Diceros bicornis minor: one gene and its partner. The protein of the gene in region 2 interacts with the protein of the main gene of each other region in a pairwise test. Links are inferred from orthologs where the notes say so. Each region holds a gene or a part of one and is shown on either strand. Other genes may lie near its edges.

Region 1 (9,910 bases), on a different chromosome or scaffold from region 2:
ACTGGTACACAAAGAGGGCAGAATTTTACTGGGTCAATGTCTACCGAATTCCCTTGTGCCAGCAGGAAAGGCCACAGCAACTCTAGGATGGCCCAGTGCTGGGTGCCCCGTGGCAGGCAACGTAAGTGTGGACACGTGAAAGGTTTTCTTGTGGTAAAGGTTTTGTTCTTGTGTGGACAGGAGAATGCAAGGGACTCTTCCCAAAGAGACCAATGGCTAGAAGGGACCTGGGGAATCATCTAATCCCTTGCCTTGGAGATGGGGAAACTGAGGTACAAAAGGACTCATGCGTAAACATTTCAATAATCTTTAAACGAACCCCCAAAGTGTCTGCACACAGTGATTCAGCCAATTGTTCAACGGCAGAGTTTGAATATACCCCAAATTTTGGACACCTAGTACAATTCTTATCCTCTTCACGCCGTGTACAAAATTGGAAATGAGGATCGCTGAGGTCACATCCCAGCTCAGTCATGGCCAGAGTGTGTGTGCTGGAGCTGCTCCTACTGGCTCTCAAGGGCTGAGGGTGCGCATCTCTTCCCAGCTCAGTGTTCAGTGATGCCATGTTAGTAGCTTGCAGTCAGCCACGGTGGGAATATTTACACTACAGAAATCAGCAAATACCACAAAGCAGCGCTTTGTTTGCCCCCCTGAAGAGCCAGCTGTCAAATATTTATCAGCACATCACTGGTCACAATCTAAATGTGAAAACCATGAGCAGGTGAGCTTAGTTTCTTCACCTAACCCAAGGACCTCCTCTCTCTCCAAAGCATTATACTTCTCCACGGTCCATCATAATACTCACTCCCAAACCTATCATAGCCCCTTCCATATTAATCAACGAGCCAGCAAATGTTTGCCTGAATGCTTCCTGTGTGCCAGGCCCCCATCTGAGCACAAATCACAGTATCACTGTGAGACAGTTATTATTTCCATCTTCCAGTTGGGAAAACTGAGTCCCAGAGACTTTAAGTGACTTTGTAACTATAGACTAAGGCCTGTCTTAGGTTAGTTTCCAGAAGTTGACCCTAAGACAAGAGTTCAAGTGCACATAGAAGGAGAACGGGAAAGTGAAACAGGGAAAGGAAGGCAGCCAATGAAGGGAGCAAGTTACCACTGTGAGCAATTGGGATTCAGTCCTGCTAGGCGGCCCTGAGAGACAGCATAGAACATGCCTCAAAGTTACCCCAACAGAGAAGTGAGGGAGCTGCAGTATTTACACACCTTCTTCCATCAGCCATTGGTTGAGGCCAAGGAAACATGGGAAGGATGCTCACAGCATCTATTTTATTGCCGGATATCACACAGCTAGAAAATGGTAGACTTCCATTCAAACTCCAATACTCTCTTCATTACTCTTATAGAAATGAGCAGTTAATCAAACACCTACTGAGTGCCAAATATGGGTAAAGTGCCATGCTGGTGAAGTAAACCCACTTTGTCAAATCACTTTGGGTTGACATGTCCAAGGAAAGCACAAGGTATCCTTTTGCCAATTTGTTTCAACAGAAGGAATAGAAAAAGCCCTTCTAAGTCACTCTGCTCATCCCACGGGAATTAGCCAAGTGCCCTGCCTTAAGCCCTTCTTCTATGAGCGGCTTCCCTCTCTGGTCGGCCACAGCTGCCTTGGGCAGGCCTTCTGCAGCCTCAAGCTGTCATCCCAAGCAGCCGCATCAACCTGTGATTACAGGCTCTAGAGTCTGCCATCCAAGGATGGTCAAAAATGACCACCCGGCTGCCCAATCAGCCAAGTCTGGAGGCTGTGCCCTGCATGCCCTGTGCCTCCTGCCCCATCCCCTTCCCTCCACCTTCCCACAGCCATATCCTCCAGGGGAACCCACAATCAGGCCAAATAAATGAAACCAGCAGTCACGGGCCTGGGGGAACTCACCTCGCCTTAAGGACTTATTTAAAATTCTTCTGGAGAGGCAGGGAGGTGTTTAAATAGGACAGTGTGTTATTGGGGTAAACAACTGGACCATATTGTGAAGAGTGGCGGGAGGGGTACTCTAGTTTTATAAACCAGCTGTAGCAGCTCTCAGCAACCATGGCTTGACAACTGGGACCGGACGTTTTGTTCCATTCCAAGCACACTGCTGAGATCTGCCCAGTTGCTCATTCTGGGGGAGAGGACAAGCAGACGCGGGCAAGTCCCAGGACTGCTCTTGGATCACCCAGTCCCTCTCCCAGCCTTTCCGCAGGATTCTCTGGCAATCTGGGCTGCCTCTGCACTCCCACCTCCCAGTCAGTGAGGACACTCCCTGCCAAAGTATCCTAGAGAACTGAATGCAATTATCAGGCCAAGGTTCTTTTATGCTTTGGTGACAGGACCCTTTTCTGGTGAGCCCTGCAGTCCAGCCTTGGCACTCCAGCAGAGGGCCAGGACGTGTGGTCCTGGGCACTTCTCCAGCCAACCCTCTCGGCCATTTCTAAGCAGCTCACACATACAAGGCAGACATAAAGTTTGGCTCCAGGGCACCAGGAAATAGACGAAGAAATCAAAGCAAAACCAGCGGGTGACTGAGAGGTCCTAGGTAGGCCAGCGCATCCGAGAGTAAGGACGTGAACTGAGGGATTGAAAACAACATGTAGGATGGTCCACTACACTGGACCGATTCTTAAGAGAACATAAACTGGAGAGAGGGCTTGAACCCCCAAACAGAAGCCTTGCGGAGATGCAGAGAGGTGGACTCTGGAGCCCCAGGGGCAGAAGGGGAGCACCCTCAGGAAAGTGGGGATGCTGCTGGCTGCAGGTACAGCAGGCACAGGTCCTGCACACACTCTGGCCTACTCAGCCAGGTGTAGAGGGCACAGCCCCCACCTTCCCCTTGAGGAGGGCATAACTGGGGACCTCAGATTCCCTGGCCTCCTATCAGCCAGGTTCCCCAAAGGTGTCCCTCATCATTCTAACCAGATTTCACCAGCACCAAAATGAGGACAGAGGAGCATGGGACATGTCTAGGCTGCACCCCAAAGAATATCCTGTCTCCCCAATACTCCACCTCTGCTCTCTCATCCTCTGAGGGAGGAGCAAGACTCACCTCCCAGCCCCCCAGCACAGGGAATCCCAACCCGTACCAGCCCAGATTCCCAGGTGTCTGGGCAGGCTGCATGCTATGCCTCCATCTTCTCCCAGAATAAGAACTACTCTGTTTCCAAAACTACCCCACCTTTCTGAGTTCAGCCATCTTTTGGGGCCCTCTTCTATCCACTGAGGCCCACTAGACAGCCAAAGCTTCCAGGCATCAGGCTGGCCTGTCTAGAGGAGAAAACACAGCTGGTGCCCACACCCAGGGTTTCTGATCCCAAATGGGCACCTCCCAAGCCAACTCCACACTTAGTCCCTGGGACACTGCATTAGGACACAAGTTTAAAAAAAAAGGAACTCTCCTCAAACAACCCAAGATACCTTAGCCATGAGAAGCTTCTTTAATTTTTCAGACCACCTGCAGAAAAAGTTCCAAGCAAATACGAATTGATAAGTAAAATAAATCCAACCCCAGATTCCTCATCCAGATGCTTTGGAAAGAAGGCCGCTGGCTCTGTCTTGCAGCTGTTTAAAAGAATCATTGTTTCTAATTCTTTCCTCCCATTGTACCAAGATCAACTGTGGCAGGAACCCAGTTCCGCTCCAGAATAAATTGTTATTTGTCAGCTCATTGGTTCAAACATTCATTCATTTCATGTAAGGTACTTACTATAAACCTCGCCAGCTCTAGACACGGCCTCTGTCCTCTGGAAGAACATGATTTAGGGACCTGGATTCCCGACACCTGGGAATAAAGCGCATCGCAGCGTTGAGAAGCCTCACACTCGGCTCCTGTCACTGAGGCACCGAGGTGCTGTGACACCAGACCCACAGAGCGCCCCAGGGTAACATGGAACCCTCCTCTCCCTGTCAGGCCATCGTGCCTCTCTGCTGTCCCCAGGGCTCTCCTAGCTTAGGAGCTGAGTGCAAAGCAGCCACTGGAAATGCAGAAGTGGCCGGGGTCCGCCCAAGGCACCTGCCTCTCTCCGGCGAGAGAGGATGCAAAGCCGAGGTCCCGAACGACCTCAGGCAGCAGCTCCGGAGGCGGGCCGGGAGACTGCAAAGGGGAAGTGCCCCGAGGACCGAGGGCCCCCACGCACCCTGCGCCCTTCTGAAGGCAGAGGGAGCTGGAGCCCCTCCCCTCCAGGGAGGCGTCCTTTAGGCGGGTAAGAAGTAGACCGGATTGGGTTTGGCCACTCCCCAGGGCCCTCGGGATTTGCCATCCCTGCACCTGCTGCCCGGCCGCACCGCCAAGAAGTCCCAGGGACCCCGGGTATGGGGTGGGGGCGCCTTCCTGCCGCCGCCCTTGGGGGCGGAGGGGGAGGACGAGCTTGGAGCCACAACTTTCTCCGGCGGAAGGCGGGCGGGCTGGGGTTCCGCACCCACGCGGCCCCTGGGGAGTCCGCACGCCCGGGAACCCCGTGAGGCTGGGGGAGAGGCAGGAGACCAGGGGCAGGCGAGGACCGAGGGGCTGACCTGGACGGGAGAAGAGACACTGCGAGAAAACTTTCGGCGAGGCAGGAGCGAGGCAGGCGAGAGAGGACCGCCCGGTACCCGGCACCTTGCGCCCCGCATCGCGCGCCCGGTACCCCGCGCCCAGCACCCCGCGCCCAGCGCCTTGCCTGCGTCCAGAGCCGGCTGCATCTCGCTCGCGCCGCGGGGACCGTGGAGTTGCAAAGTGGGGGTGCCGCGGCCGGGGGCTGCTCCAGCCGGCGCCTGGGTCAGCGATCGGCGGGCCGGGCTCAAATCCAGCCCAGCTGGGAGGCGGCGGCCGCGCGATTGGGGGTCGGGCGCCCCGCCCTCCTCGCTCCCTCTCCGCCCCTCCTCGCCCTCTCGCCCGCCCCCCTGCCTTTATCTGCCCTATGCGATCTGACCGTCCTCCCTCCCCCTCTTTCTCTAGCTCTCCATCTCTCCCCACCCCTCTTCCACTCGCCTTTCTTCCTCCCCTCCTCTCCCGCCCTCCCTCCCCTTCTCCCCTCCCCCCGGGGGGCGGAGCTTCTCCCCTCCCTCCCAGACAATGCTTTGGCTGCGCGTCCCCTCCTTCCCTGCCTCCGAGTCGGGGCTCCGGCTGCCAGCGCTTCTTCCGGGCTGGGGGGGCGGGGAGGGGGTAGGAGTGCGGGGGTGGGGAGGATGAGCTGGCTCCCCTCACCCCATTCGCCGCTGCCCTTTCCAAGAGGGATGGAGTCTTGGCCCAAGCCCCTCGGCTCGCCCCGTGCTGTGACAGCCACTCCAAGGGAACAGTCACGCTGCCCCGAGGAGCCCACTTTGGGCACCCCGGATTCCCCAGGCAGAGGATGTAGGATTTTTTTTCTAACACTCGGGCTTATTCCAAAAACAGTTTGAGCTGAGCAGGGGGCTAAGCGAGGCCCCTTCGACTTCGCGGGCTGGCAGACGTGACAGCAATGTGAAGGAGGCCAAGTTTCTTTGTCCACCTCTCACCTCCCCCTCTTATCCATCCCTGGACCTCCAGGGGCTCTCAGTGCACAGGAAACCCTAGAGCACCCCAGCTGCGGAGCTCCTTATCTGTTCCCTCCTTCTTATCAGAATTCTCCCCTCGCATTCATACTCCAGCTCTGCAGAGTCAGTCTCCACGCCAAGAGGAAAGGGGCCTAACCGTTAATGGGTAGCCAACCCCCGGGGTACAGCCGGATCAGCTCATCCCTCCTGGAAGCCAAACATTCTTTATAAATTCATTGTTTGGATGTTGGAATGTGTCTCCCTTAGAAACAATGTTACAAATGGTGATCTGCTTCCCAGGGCAGCCACAAAAGTCTTTTGAACCCAAAATGCAGCTGCAGGGTGGTGCTGAAAACTGTGTCAGCTGCCCCAGAACAAGGAGACCACTGATCAGCTTTTTCTATAGAAAAAAAAATTATCTTCTGGTTCTTTCCCCTTGAGCTATAAACACAAAGCTCTCCCGTTAATTCCCCCTCACACACGCACCGGAACCCCTACCTCCCTCACCTCTCCCCCCAGCCACTACTCTGTATTAGTCAAGCTTCTTTCCTTTGCAGGTAATGGAACACCCTCCGGGGAGTGTGTTATGAGGACAAGGGGGTTTCTCTATAACCTCAGGGTCAGAACTGCAGGGAGAGCTCAGTTAGAGGCAAATCCAGAGCCTGGAGGGCTTCCAGGAACCCAGGAGGGGCCCGCTCTTCTCTCTCATCATAGACTGGGCTTCCCTGCATCCCAGACACATGACAAAGGGTGGCCATGGCTTCCATCACTGGGGCTTGGAGCTTCCCTGTTGAAGAAAGCAGCCAGGTAGAGCTAAAATCCCTTAGTCTCTACTCCAGTCTCCCAGGAGAGCTGCTCATTGGCCCAGCTTGGGTCAAGTGACCATCCTATGACCAATCAACTGGGGCTAGAGGCAGGCTTACATTGTCCAAATTAGGCTACCAGGAACCCTGACCTATTTAAAACAAAATCTGTTCCTCTTCACTTAACATTCTCCATCTTAGTGAATAAATTGATTGATTAGTTCAAAACACCAGAAAACATCTTTCTTTTCATCAATTTGTCCATACAGAAAGCACAGGAGGAAAAAGAATAGGACTTTTTCCTTCAAGGCAGTGTAGGGACAATAATTCTGTATCAGGGATAATATTTGCAAATATTAAACCGAATACATTAAAGCCCACCCTTAAACCATATTTTCTTGCAGCCTTCCACCCCCAGGGACTGAACCCAGAGGCACATGGCCGCAGGGAAGCAGGAGATAAGCATTGCCTAGAACTATCTACAGTGCAAGCCACAGGTGCAATTTAAAACTTTCTAGCTACATTAAAAATAGTAAAAAAAAAGAGCCAGCTCTGATGGCCTACCAGTTAAAGTTCGGCACGCTTCTCTTTGGCGGCCTGGGCTCAGTTCCCGGGCGCAGAACCACACCACTCATCTGTCAGTAGCCATGCTTTGGCAGCAGCTCACATAGAACTAGAAGGACTTACAACTAAAATATAGAACTGTGTCCTGGGGCTTTGGGGAGAAAAAAAAACCAGAGAGGAAGATTGGCAACAGATGTTAGCTCAGAGCAAATCTTTCCCAGCAAAAAAAAAAAAAAAAAAGTTAAAAAAATAGTAAAAAGAGGGGCTGGCCCAGTGGCGCAAGCGGTTAAGTGCGCGCACTCCGCTACGGCGGCCCGGGGTTCGCTGGTTCGTATCCCGGGCGCGCACCGACGCACTGCTTGGTAAGCCATGCTGTGGCGGCGTCCCATATAAAGTGGAGGAAGATAGGCACAGATGTTAGCCCAGGGCCGTCTTCCTCAGCAAAAAAAGAGGAGAATTGGCGGATGTTAGCTCAGGGCTGATCTCCTCACAAAAAAAAAAAAAAAAAAAAAAAAAAAAAAAAAAAAAAAAAAAAAAAAAAAATAGTAAAAAGAAACAACTGAAATTAATTTTAATGATATAGTTTATTTAAATCAAAATATTACCATTTCAATATGTAAACAATATAAAGAAGTTATTGACGGAGTATTTTACATTCTATTTTTCTGCTAAGGCTGTGTGTATTTACACTTCAGCACATCTCAATTTGGACGTTAAATTTTCATCAAAAATATTTGATCTGTATTTAGATTTTATGAAATTTCTTCTTGAAAAAGTAAATTGACACACCCGAGTTGTTCTCAACATGCCTAAAAGTTTCCCACTAACTGAATTGAGTAGCAGTTTTTAAATTTATGTTTTAATTAATTAAGATTATATAAACTTAAAATTCAATTCCACTAGTCACGTTTCAAGTACTCAATAGCCACATGTGGCTAGTGGCTACCATATTGGGACACCACAATTTTCTGGAGCAAGGACGTCACTGATGAGCTCTGAGTCTCAAAGCTGACTTCCCATTTCTCTTTAGCAAAACAGTGGCAGGAATGTCAAGCATGGCCAGAGAGAAAATGATTCTCCAAATTCCTTTATGTCGCCCTATAACGTCTCAAGGGGCAGGCTTTGCCACTAGATCAGAGTTCTACTGGGGAGAAGCAGGATATGCAGAGGAGAAGTGGGAGGCCCAAAGCCCACTCTTTGTTCCCAGTGGATTCTGGGAGGAGGGAGGAAGAAGCAAGGGACACAGACAGTGGGAAATGCCTCATCTGCCCTATTTGAACTTCTGCCAGAGTGAGGAGGTATGTTGATGGGTTAAGGGGAGTCTGGAGATAGAGTAGAGGAAATGGCCACACTGGCTGTCCACGTCCTTCCTCCTTGTTCCCAGGCACAGACCTAGGGGAGGGGGCAGCCTCATTAAAGTCAACTTAGTGGACCACCAAGTTACACAGACGGGGCCTGGGTTTAGCTTTCTGGGGTCACCCACAATTCCTGCGTGGCATAGACATGATGCAGAAGTTCCCACCTGCTCCCAAGGACCAGGGGCCTCCGAAGGAAGTGGAATTGTGAGCCTTAGACCTTCCATAGGGCCTTAGTTTGAGTCCCCTCAAAAGCAGAACCTGAGACAAGGACTTGGGAGTTTACTTAGGAGCTGGTCCCAGAAAGCAGGAGAGTGAGACAGGGAGGGAGAAAAGCCAATAAAGGGTGTGGCACCAGCACCCCATTCCTCTGGGGACCCTCTGAGGAACTGTGTAAAATGCGCCTCAGAATTGTCCTCTCTGAAGCTGGGGGCACTGGGGCAGTTATCTGCTAACTCTCATTTCCCACTGTTTAAGAATTACTTCCAAAGAGCTCACCTCTTCTTACTTCCTGGCTGTGTGGACATCTTTGGCCTCAAGGGAACCTCTGAGGCAGACAAGCAGGAGCCACTGCCATTGGCACTTCAGGTGGCATGAGTCATTGTGCATGGAGCTGCCCACCACAGCTATGCTGGGGGAAGAAGTGGGCTGAGGCGGTGCGAGCCAGAACACGCAAGTCATCTGCTCTAAGAGCCAGCATGGAGAGGGGCAGGTTGACCCCGAAGGTTAGCTCAGGGGCTGGTGGGAGGACATGATAGAGACTCAGAGGGAGCGTTGGTGAGGGCCGAGTCAAGGCCGGGGGCGTCAGGGAGCACTACAGAGCTCTGAAGGAGCGTGGAGCACACAGACCATGAGGTACACAAGCTGCAGGCCTCAGCAGCAGATGCCAGGCAAACACCCAGGAATGGGGCCATCACCCCTCAGCATTTTGCTTTCCAGGGATGGTCCAGAGTAGGCCCTCTGCAGGGGAGCCCGGGGGGACCCGGAGACACCATCCTCACATGCCACCACCAGAAAAGGTAAGGCAGAACCACCTCCAAAGATCCATCTTGGAGATAGCTGGGAAGGAAGGAAGAACTCTGAGAGAGTTTTCATCTAAGAAGACCAGCAGGAATGCAAATTATTGTATCAGACTCCTTTTTTTTTTCTCTGCTATCCACGAGGTGAGAATGTACAAAGGAAGATCTAATGAGTTATAGAGAAATAAGGAAGCCTCAGTGACCTGAGTACATCTGAACTTGTCTGGCACGCTAGCATGGTGGGCTGGCTGGAAATGTATTTGTTCGAGAGGTGAAAAAAGGCCCTCCTGGGAGATAATGTTCATTCTAAGGAGAGAAGAAACCAAATTTGGTCCAGTATCAAAGCTTTAGTTGACAGAAGAGAGGTGAGATTGTCACTCAACTCTGCCCCCAGCCTGGCCCCCGGGACACATGGGGGGGTGATCCCGGGAAGATGGAAGAGGCTCTAAGTTACAACTCAAAGGACTGTTTCAGAAACTTCAGGAATACTCTGGGGCCCAAGCAGTCATGCTTTGGGGACTTCCCGCTAAGTAACACTTAAGGGACAGACAGTCCAACACTCAGCTTCCCTGTTTCAAGGGTTTGATATGTTGACATTACTCAGAAAGTAGTAAATGAATTGCCAAAATGGTCACACTTATTCCCCTCCCTGCATATACTTTGCAGCTCCTCCCACAAAGAGGT
Region 2 (10,581 bases):
TCCAAGTGTCCAAGGTTCCTAGGTGTGCTAAAGGTAGACTCGATGTCAATGTCTCAGTAATCTCTTCCATAAAGAACCACGACCGAGCATAGGTCTGCAGGATCCGGTGGCTGTCACATGGCTGGTTCCAGTCTGTGCCGAGAGGCAGCTAAGCTTAGCCGTTAGTGCAATGTCAAGACAGGGCAGATGGGCCCTGAGTGAGACACCAGCCTCACTCACCAAGAAAGTCCCCATCCCCATCCATGAAGGTTCCATGGCAAACGCCTCCACTCACACCATAATTAAAGTCCATCGCAGGAAGGGAAGGTTAGGATGAGGAGCCCCAGGGCACCCTTTCAACCCTATAATTCCCATCAGTGAACACTTCATAGCTCTGAACAATGCCCCTCCCAAGAGAGACAGGCTCAGGAGCAGACGCGCAGCCCTCACCAGCAACGTGCAAGGTCTGTCCAAGCGTCCTGCCTTGAATGCTGACTTGGACTTAGGTTTCCCCATTTTCCAGATCATTCCCTGGCCCAGGATGGTTTACAAATCCACCAAAACAAGATGAAAGGTAAAAGGTCAATTCTCTGTGCCTTCTACAGAAGAAAGGGTCATGACCTCTAAGGGACATTCCCTGAAAACAAAGCCAAAGGGCGGCCCGGTGAGTTTCTAGGGTTGTTTGCTGTTGACAATTCCCTTCTGGAATGCTGGAAATAGACCCTCACCCCTCCAGCACATCCATCCCAACACACACACCTGCATTCACGCCATCATCTCCCTCCCTCTCTCTCTTCCACCAATCCCCCTGGATTTACTTCTCTATCTAACAAACATCATTTCTTTAGTCCTGAAAATTAATATTAACTCTGAACTTTCCTGTTGGCAAACCCAGCATTAGTGAGAGCTCAGTTACTGAACTTGAAGTAGGGTAAGCTTAAGTTAGAGACAGTTTCACGAAAAAGGCAGGCAGACAGTGGGAAGACAGTTTTCTGAACGCTTCCCTTACTAAAAGCCCACTTTGCCAACACGGCTCCCACCCAGTGTCAGCCTCCTGGCTCAGGCAGATGTCACTCACATGCCCACTGCCCTTCTGCTTGTTCCCAAGAGCAGGGAGATTTAATAGAATAAACAAGCCACCACCTTCATCAACCACCACTTATTGAGACTGTGCTCTGTGCCTCACACTTTGCTGGGGGCAACTGACACAAAGACAAGGCATCAATGTCTTGGTGACCTCTAAGCCACTGCCATTCTGTGAGGACACTCCTCAGCCAGCAGGCAGGAATGGCATTTCTAGAGGACAATTAATACCTTCCTGGGATGCTCATGGCACTCACTTCCCCACTTGGCTCAGCAACCAGGCAGAGTCTGAAAACTGTATCACTGCATGGAAAGGTGATCCTCGGAAGTGTCATGAGCCCAGACAAATTGTTACACCTGTTGGATGGGCAAGGACAATAATAACACTCACATTACATTAAGCATTCATATTGCATTTTGCCAGGCACTGTTCTGAGCACTCTACATACGCTAATTGATTTAATTCTCGCATTAACGTGATGCAGTAGGTAATGTTATTATCCCCATTTTTTAAAACAAAGAAGTGGAACACAGAGATGCCCAGGGTCACACAGAGACTAAGTGGCAGAATCAGGATTCAAACCCAGGTCTTCTGGTTTCAGTCCGTTCTCTTAATCACTGCACAGTACTGCCTTTTAAAAGTCATATTTCTGACGCTTGCTTTTCAAAAGATAAAACAAACCAACCCCATCACAGAATTAGTTGTTCGACTTAAAGAAAGATGCTCCGTGAGCTTGGCCTGCTGTGTCCCCACCCGCCAGCCCTCATCTGCACATCAGAACATTTCTCAACTGCCCCCAGCCAGCCACAGGTCCACAATTAGTTAAACATTAATAATGACAGAGACTCCTCTCCATAGCCCGTTGATTCCAGCTTTGCTCCTCTCTGGTGTTCAGACATCCCTGGTTGGTATTAAGCCAACTGCGTGAGGGCCACAGGAGCCCAGGAAAACGAAGAGACTTCACCAAGTCTCACACAAAGTCAGACAAACTGCCCATGTACCTGGGTCTTCCTGCCACCAGAAACTATAAACTAACCAAAGGAAATAAATTCTAATGTGAAGTGAGCATAACTTCATTTAATCATGGAGTATCACACATATGCACATACAAACACACACAAATACACCATTATCGCAACAAAAAAACAAATCATAAAACTCTGTGCAAAATGTTCAACAATTGATACAGCCCCCAAACATCCGAATAGACTAGAATTCCAACGAAGCGGATTTCCTGGGATTCCAGCACAATAAAACCCATTACAGTGAGGATCCTGCCTGTCTCTATGAATATAGGGTTGGTGGATGCAGGAAAGTACCCCAAGACCCTTGAGAGGGCAAAAGTTGCCAACATGTCCATGGGCACGTTGCATTAGATTCTACTGTAAGGTCAGGGGCATTTATCAAGTAACAGCAGAGCACCACCCATAACACATATATCTCTATAACTTTTGCTCTTTCCTTTTTAATTAGCACCTGAACTGTGAGTTCCAGGGTTGGAGGAAGCAGCACCCACTTTCCCCTCCAACCTTCCCTTTCCACTTGATCCTGGCTTAGAGTCTGAGCTCTCCTCCCCTGCGGCCAGCTGCAGTAGAGGCACGCTGCCTCGGCTGTGGACTGCAGAGAGAGGCAAGGCAGGGTTTTCCTGAGGTGGAAGTAGCTGCTGCTGTCCGGTGCTGCAGTCCGATGGGAGTGTGAGGCTGTGCTCACAGGGGAAGGGCTTTTGCCAAAAGATGCAAACCACAACCCATTTCCAGAGACCCTTGTTAGAGGTTGTGCCATTGTCTGTGCTTTGTGCTTCAGATATTTAAAATACCTATATAAACACATAAACACATGGGGATGGATACCCTCTGCCAAACATGGCAGGAGCAGATAGGGCGGGTAGGTGGGGCACCCATTAAAGAACACTCACACCTAACTGTAGGAAGAGAAAAATAATGCACCTCCAAGAAGACCGCACATTTGCTCAGAAAATTTACACACTGGGTGCCCAGTGTTTTCTAGTCAGTCTTTGAGAAGAGCCTGGCTCAGGAGGCGGCTAGAGGGGCCTGAGAGCTCTGGGGGAGAAGGGACCCGGCAGGAGTTAGGTAATTTCAGAGCATGATGACTGACTGGTGCAGTAACCGAGGAGGAGGAAGAGGAGGCCAGCTCAGGACACAGCCAAACGTTAGAGCAGAGTCCAAAGGTTTGAGGGGCCAGAGGCAGAAGGCAGGAGGGGCACAGGTCCAGGGTGACCTCAGGCTCTCTTCAGCCTCATAGCCGTTTCCATCTAAAGCCCAACCAGGTCTCCTCCCTATCCCAACAGGTCGCCCTGGAGAAAGGGTATACCATAAGTGTCCGTGTACTGTGGGGCTGCACCATAGACAGACAAAGAAGCCATTTTTTGCCACGGGTCAAAAGGCCATCTCAATACCAGTCTCACAACCCACTCTCAAGAACCTACAACAAAAGCAGGAGGGTGCGCAGGGGACAATGGAATGACCTTGCCCTGCTGCCATCAACCCCAATCTGTGCGCGCACACGTGTGTGTGCGTGTGTGTGTGTGTGTGTGTGTGTGTACGTGTGTGTCTGGGGAAGGGCGAGGCGTGCACCTGTCAGGGGAAGAGGTGTTTGTTAAATACCGCATGACCATACCCGGGGAGTAGGCAGTCACTAGAGGATACTGGGCAGGGGACTAAGGAGCAGAGTGTCCCCAGGGCTTACCTCCCTTCGTTCAAGTCCAAGTTCCCCTGGAGCCAGAGAGGGCGATGCGCCCGCTGTCCTGCCCCAGCCCCTCGCAGTTCCTCGCCCGCGGACTGCGGTCCTCCCGCGCGCCCCTCCGCTCCCCTGCCTGGCCCGCACACTCACTAGCGCAGCGCAGCGCCTGCCGCAGCACCTCTCGTCCGCACAGGTCACACCAGCCCCGGCCGCTCCGCAGCGCCAATTCAGCGAAGCAGTGCCCCTCGCCTCGCTCCGCCGGGACGCGGGGATCCTGCGGCTGCTCGAAGATGCTCCGCACGTCGCGGGGCCGGGGCGCTCCCGGCCGCCGCCGCAGTCTCTGCTGCAGACCAGGCCGCAGAGGGCGAGCGGGTCGGGAGGCCCGGAGTTGGGACTCCAGGTCGCCCCGGGCAGCCCTCCGGGCGCCGCGCCCCTCGTGCGCCCCGGGCGCAGCGGAGAGGGGCGCGGGGGCGCAGCGGCGCGAGGACCGGCCGGGGGGCCGCGGCGGCGGCGGCGGCGGCTCGGGGCCGCTCAGGCTCTGCAGATAGCGCGGCGGTTCTGGGTCCAAGAGTAGCCGGTACGGGCGCTGCCCGATGGCCGGGGACGCCATGGCCATGCCCGGCTGGCGGCGGCGGCAGCTCCCGGCGGTGGCGCTCCTCCCGAGTCAGCCTCGAGAGCAGTGCCGCCCGCCCAGCGCGCCTTTAAAGGGGCCGCAGCCTGCGGGGCGGGGCGGGGGCGGGGAGACTTCGGAGAGGCAGGAAGGACGACCCGAGGGAACCACCCCACCGAGCGCAGGGTTGGCGGGGGAGGGGGCGGGGGGGTACTGAGCGAGTGTGGATTTAGGGGCGTCTTCAGAAGCGCCTGGACAACTGGGGCAGCTGAAGGATTTCGTATGGGAAGGCTCTATAGTACAACTCAAAAGAGGCATTTCTGGAGGGGACGTCTACCCTCAGCCCTGCCTCTTTCCCTCTCCCATCACTTCCCCCACCGCAGATCCCCCCGCCACCCGCACCCCAACACGCCCAGGGGAGGGAGCAGGGCAGAGGCAAGGGCTCAGGAGCCGGCTGAGGATGGGATGTGAGGAGAGGCCCACGGGCTGGATGTCCGCCCGCCACCCTCCGGGGTTCACGCGGACGGGAGGGACACGCTCCTTTGCTCCTCCTCCCGCCCCCTCGCCGCCCGCAGCCGCCGGCGAGCCGACCCCGCCGTGGGTCGCGAACGCCCCGCTTCCGCTCGCGCTCCCGCCGCGGCGCCGAGTCCCGTGACCAGGAGGGACCCGAGCGCGGGGGCGCTTCTCGTGCCGCCGCGAGAAGCCGCCTCCGCCGCGGGCGAGGCTGTCCGTGTGCGACTTTCATTCTTGCTGGATTTCCCCTCTCAGCAGCCCTGCCCGGTAGGATATTCCCTTCTCGGAAGACTGGGGTTATGGTGATCGTGGATCCTGGATTGTGAGAACGCTCCAGCGCCCCATGGATTGGGAAAGATTTTCCAACTAAGTCAAACCCTCCTCTCACCACAGCTGCTCTGGTGATTCCTGTGGAAACACCGGTCCCCCCAAAGCCGTACATTGCATCTGGTGTGAACAGTTCACCTGTGAGATCCAAAGAGAGATCCGTTTTCTACCAGCACCAGGGCAGACTTCATGAACCCCTCCCCGCAGTTTAGTGCCCTGCTGTCACCGTCTTGAAAGTCTCAATAATTTTGGAACAAAGGGCACGGCATTTGTTTTTGCACTTGGTCCCGCACGTTATGTAGCCGGCCCTGACCAGCACATTTGCCCATGGAGACAGCCCCGTCTCATGATGGGAAGCAGGCGCCTCCCGGGCTCCCGGGTCTTTGTACCTCCGTGTCCTGACGCAGACCAGCTGGATGACTCTGGGCCCTCTCTAGCCTCTGCAGTTCTCAACTATACATTGATCCAGGAGTGAGGAGACAGGGACATGCTCTCGCAGTCTCCTCCAGTCCCACCACTCTGACTCAGTGATCACTGCCGTCCTCTTAACGCTTGGGGTTTGGTTTGGTTGATCTAGCAGAGGTCTCAGCAACCAACTTTGGAAATGTCTCAATTCTTCCAGATCTGAGGCTCTCCCTCCTCTTCCCGGCCTAAGATGGGTCTCCCCCTACTGTCTGCAAGGGCAATCTTCACTTTTGCTTTTTATTTTCCCCCTTGGAGGTAATTTTTCAATAATTCCTAACATTTCTAGTCTGGTGGCTGGGGAATTCCCAGCCTGCTCTGGTCCATGGCTTCTCCCTCCTGGTAGGGATCTTCCTAGAGGCCTCTGCCACCGCATTTGTAGCAGAGGACATGTTGCGTCCCCAGCTCTCACCAGAGTCTGGAGCTTCCCAGCTCATGAGGTGGTTTCTGGGCAGAGGAGAAGAATGCCCACAGCAGCCAGCCCTGCAGTGCGACAGAGCAGAAGGAGTTGGGATGGGGACCTGTGAGCCACCAGCCACCCCTCTGCTCCCTCCTCCACCCTTCCTCTCCGGTCTGAACTTCTCTCTACATCAGTGGTTTTCAAACTTTGTTGTGTACCACTCACCTGGAGGGCTCCTTCAATCCCAGATTAGTGGGCTCCACCACCTGAGTTTCTGAGTTGGTGTGTCTGGGGCTGGGGTTTGAGATTTTGCATTTTTAACAAGTTCCCAAGTGATGTTGATGATGCTGGTCCAAGCCCCAACTGCTCTAGATCTAACGTGGTGATAACAGAATGGGCCTCCCTGTTCTTTTCTCCACGGGGTAGGTGAGGTCCAGTGGGACGTGACTGAGGAAAACTTGGTGGAGGGGGCTGTTTCTGAATGCTTTCTGCTGAATGTTTACAAAGGAAAGTGCAGTTTGCCTTTGTGGTCTCTCATTTCTCTCTCTCCTATTTTTTCTGCAAGCAGTTCTCTTGGGCTTGTTGCAGAACCTGCATTGCATGGAAATATTTGCTGGTATCCACCCTCTGCTATCCACCCCTCTCCACAGGCTTGAGACACGTCTGGAGGAGATCACTCCCTCCTGGGAGGGCATTGGACTGGGTGAGGTCCAGGGTGTGGACCCAGCTTAAGTTCTGGGTGACAGCTTAGTGTGGCAAGAAGAAGAGGAGACCTGGCAAAGAGTTCACCACTGGAAGGCCGGTTTTAAAGTGCCATTGGTGAAATAATTGCCAACAATCACATCTTTGCCCTCCACCTCCCCACCCCCAAGCATGATTATGGGCTGCCCAGCCCAGATTCCCTGGATGGAGAGGCTCATGGGAAGAGTGTCTCCTCGGGCCCTGGGAAAGTGGGGACTATCTGGAATAGTCAGACATAAACCCTTGCCCAGGTTCTGAACTGTCCAGAAAACACTCTGGTCTTTTTTTCCTGCTGCAGCTCCGATCTGGAGGAGTGGTGGTGGCTGTTCCCAGCACTGAATGGGGGAGGAGACCAGGCAGGGTCAGAGCCCTACATTTGGCGTCTGGGATGGGAACAGAGATGAAAATGGAGATAACGTAACTTCATGTAACCAATCCAAAAAGTGTATGAAGTTTATCTTAGGGTTCATCTCCCTGAGCCAGGAAATTGAGGTCGGGGAAGTAGTTGCCTCCCCTGAACCCCAACGGGAGGCTCCCTGCCTGGGACTTGCCTCCTCTGATGCCATCTTTCCCAGCCTAGTCTCCTTCTTCCCTGAAACAGCATCCCCTCCCACAATACACACACATACATGCACGCCTGTGCTTGTGCGTGCACGCACACACACACACATATGCAAGTCATTCCTCCTTCCCCAGGGAAGAAGTACTAAATAAACTCTAGTCTCATTGTAGAGTCGGGACAGTATCTGGGATAGTGTACGATGCTTGAACTTCAGAATTGTTAGGATGGGTCTTTGGTCTTGCGGGCTACAAGGGTGAGACCCCAGCATGAGCTGAGACATCTCCACTAGAAGCTTTCCCCCATGTTAGCAGATCCCCTTGGCTCAGAGCGTGGACTTTTTTCTGTTTGTGACTCACTCCCAGAAGAGTGGGTGTGCTGTTTTTATTTTGAGTGTGTGGTCAGCATGTGAAGTCACTGCAGAGGTGGTCCCAGGGTGTGTTCGTATTGGGCAAGTTGTTTCAAGGCTGTCCCACAACTCCCACTGAGCTTCCTAGTAGGAAGGAAAAGGGAAGGACAGAATGTGGCCTGACTTTCTGAAGGGGAAGTTTTTGGTTTTGTTTGGCTTTGAGGCATTTGAAGTCGCCTGAAATCCCCGAAGCATTTAGGGCCCTCCCGGTGACTCTGACAGCACTGCTGCCTGCACAGGATCTCTGGACCTGTCAGGGCAGGTGAGCGTACTCTGTGGTCATAAACAACCCCAAATCTCAGTGCCTTTAAACCAGAGACTTCTTTCTCACTCACATTATGTGCCCTTTGCCAGTTGGCAGGGAGACTGTTCATCAATGCCACCCAGGGACCCAGGCTGATGGAGCCACCACGTCTAATGTTGCCAGTCACCATGCCAGAGGGAAACCCAGAGGGCCTGGAGGACCCTTCATCAGCATTTCAAAGTTCCAGTCACTTCTGCTCACAACTCACTGGCCAGAACTAGTTATATAGCGCACACTACACAAGGGGAAGCCAGCCCTGGTGGTCTAGTGGTTAAGATCCAGCGCTCTCACTGCTGCTGCCTGGGTTCGTTTCCCAGTCAGAGAACCACACCACTCATCTGTCGATTGTCACACCGTGGTGGTTGCTGTGATGCTGAAAGCTATGCCTTCCAGACTAAGACAGACTAGGAAGAAGGACCTGGTCCCCCACTTCTTGATTCGTTGGCACTAACAACAACAACACAAGGAGAACAAGAAGTGCTATCCTTCCATGTGCTTGGAATAGGAAAAGAGCTGGAAGTGTTGGGCAAACAGCACTCATGACCACTGCATCTTCAAGGGCACAGAGCAGTTATTCATTTAACAATAATTATTTAATATCCACCGTATATCAGGTGCTGTTCTAGGCACCAAAGGTAGAACAGTGAAGTGGACATGTTCCTAAGCTTACATTGTGGTGGGAGAGCCAGATAGTAAACGTGCAAACGTAGCTGTGATATAGTGTCAGGTCGTGAGCACTGTGATGAAAGATAAAGCACTTTAAGGGGATAGAAAGTGACAGGGGCCACTATGTCAGGTTGGGTGATCAGGAAAGACCTCCCCAAGGAGCAGACATTTAAACACAGACCTGAACGGAGTGAGTCCTTGTCTATCTGAGCGAGGGTGGTCCAGGCTGAGGGAACAGCAGGCTCAACAGCCCCCAAACTTTCCCAACCTCATGAACATGGGTTTGTTCCAAATGTGTTTTCTCAGACTCCACCTCCAGAGATTGATTCAATAAGTCTGATATTGGCCTGCATTTGATAAGAGAGTTTGATTAACTTGACACACAGACCCCACGTTGAAAACGGGACCAAGGCAGTGAGTGGTTGGGGTCATGTGACCCCCGCCACAGACCTTAGAGGAAAACGCTCCTGCCCTTGTTAACTGCAGGATCACAGCTCCATGCTCTGCTTGCTTCCCTCCCTGGTAGCACGTTGCCTACAGAGCTCGGCCTCCCAAGGAAGAGGGTGTTGCTTGCAGCGTGTAATGGGGGTAATACCTCACATGGCTAGACAGCAAGCAGGGACCATGACAAAACGTGTCGGGGAATTCAAGTGTTTGTGAAAGTCCCTTGTACAATGCTATATGTTATACATATTTACTCAAGAAATATGCATCGAGTACCTACTATGTGGTGGGTAGGTACTCTTGGCTTGAATGACTTCATCTTCATGGCAACTCTGTGGAATGACTGGCATTCCTATTTTACAGATGAGAACACTGAGGCTCAGAGAGGTCATGTGACAGGCCCAAAAAGGGGTTGCCGTCTGGACTCAAATCCATGATTTTGCCTTTGTACTGCCCAGCTGGTGTGCTAAAAAGGGCAGTGTTTAAAACCTCTGATCTCACTTTGTAGGTGCAGTTTAAAGAATCAGCAAAATCTTTCCCCATTTTTCTCTTCCTGTCAAAATCCTGTTCACCTTTCAAGTCTAGTTGAAATGCCAGGTCCTCCATAGAGCCGGCCCAGAGTCACCCAGACCTAATTCATTGCTATTTTTTCTGGGCTCCCATAACGAGCTGCTTGTGTCTCTAGCATTCACGTTATCCTAACGTGAGTCACAATTAAGTTTCTACATTTTTGCCTCCTTCACTTGGGTCTTGTTGGTCTTTCTGATCCCACCACGCAGGGCAAATAGAGGGTGCTCGATAAATGTCGAATGAAATGAATTTGGCCCTAGGCTCCCACCTGTACCTAATCCAGGACTCATCTCTGAATGTCACTTCCACACATGGCCCCTGCAACCAGGAGGGGGAGATGAAGGAATCATCTGGTCTAGGGAGAACAGGAGAAGAGGGGGTGGTATGGGAACTGCATTTAAGATGCACGTGCATGCCCTGAAGTTGCTGGGCACTGGGGCAGGTTTCCGGCCTTCAGGTGCTAGTGACTGCCCAGGGCTAAGGGCACCATCCCTACTTGCAGGGGGCTGGGCTTTCTGTGTGTCACCAAACTCCAGTGCTCCCGCAGGGAGCATCTACGTCCTTACAGAGCTTGGGGACAGGAAGGACAAACCAGGCTGGGGATGTGAGCAGGGATGCGAGGACTCCTGGGGTGGTGTCGCTGTGGAGGGTGGGGGTGGGTAGCACTTGTTTCCTGGCGGTTTTGTGGGGCCTCCTCCATCTGCGTCTCAGTCATGGAATTTCCCATCCCGACCCACTCTGCCAGGCTTGTGATAAGACTGGTGTGCTTGTGTGTATGTTTCTTCTTTCCGCGTTGGAAAAACTCAGATATTC

The links.
Region 1: the proteins of RASSF5 (region 2) and RASSF2 interact in binary tests that used the Homo sapiens proteins (3 or more experiments, as listed by UniProt). The link is inferred for Diceros bicornis minor from reciprocal best matches to the Homo sapiens genes RASSF5 and RASSF2.

Annotation. Positions count from the first base shown.
Region 1 is NC_080758.1:33,031,603-33,041,512, forward strand, and holds the start of RASSF2 (ras association domain-containing protein 2), read right to left. Parts: upstream 4,645-9,910; 5' UTR 4,505-4,644; intron 3,995-4,504; exon of another isoform or gene 3,774-3,994; 5' UTR 3,699-3,773; intron 1-3,698. UniProt on the Homo sapiens protein: Potential tumor suppressor. Acts as a KRAS-specific effector protein. May promote apoptosis and cell cycle arrest. Stabilizes STK3/MST2 by protecting it from proteasomal degradation.
Region 2 is NC_080743.1:99,553,314-99,563,894, forward strand, and holds the start of RASSF5 (ras association domain-containing protein 5), read right to left. Parts: upstream 4,385-10,581; 5' UTR 4,380-4,384; coding exon 3,914-4,379; intron 1-3,913. UniProt on the Homo sapiens protein: Potential tumor suppressor. Seems to be involved in lymphocyte adhesion by linking RAP1A activation upon T-cell receptor or chemokine stimulation to integrin activation.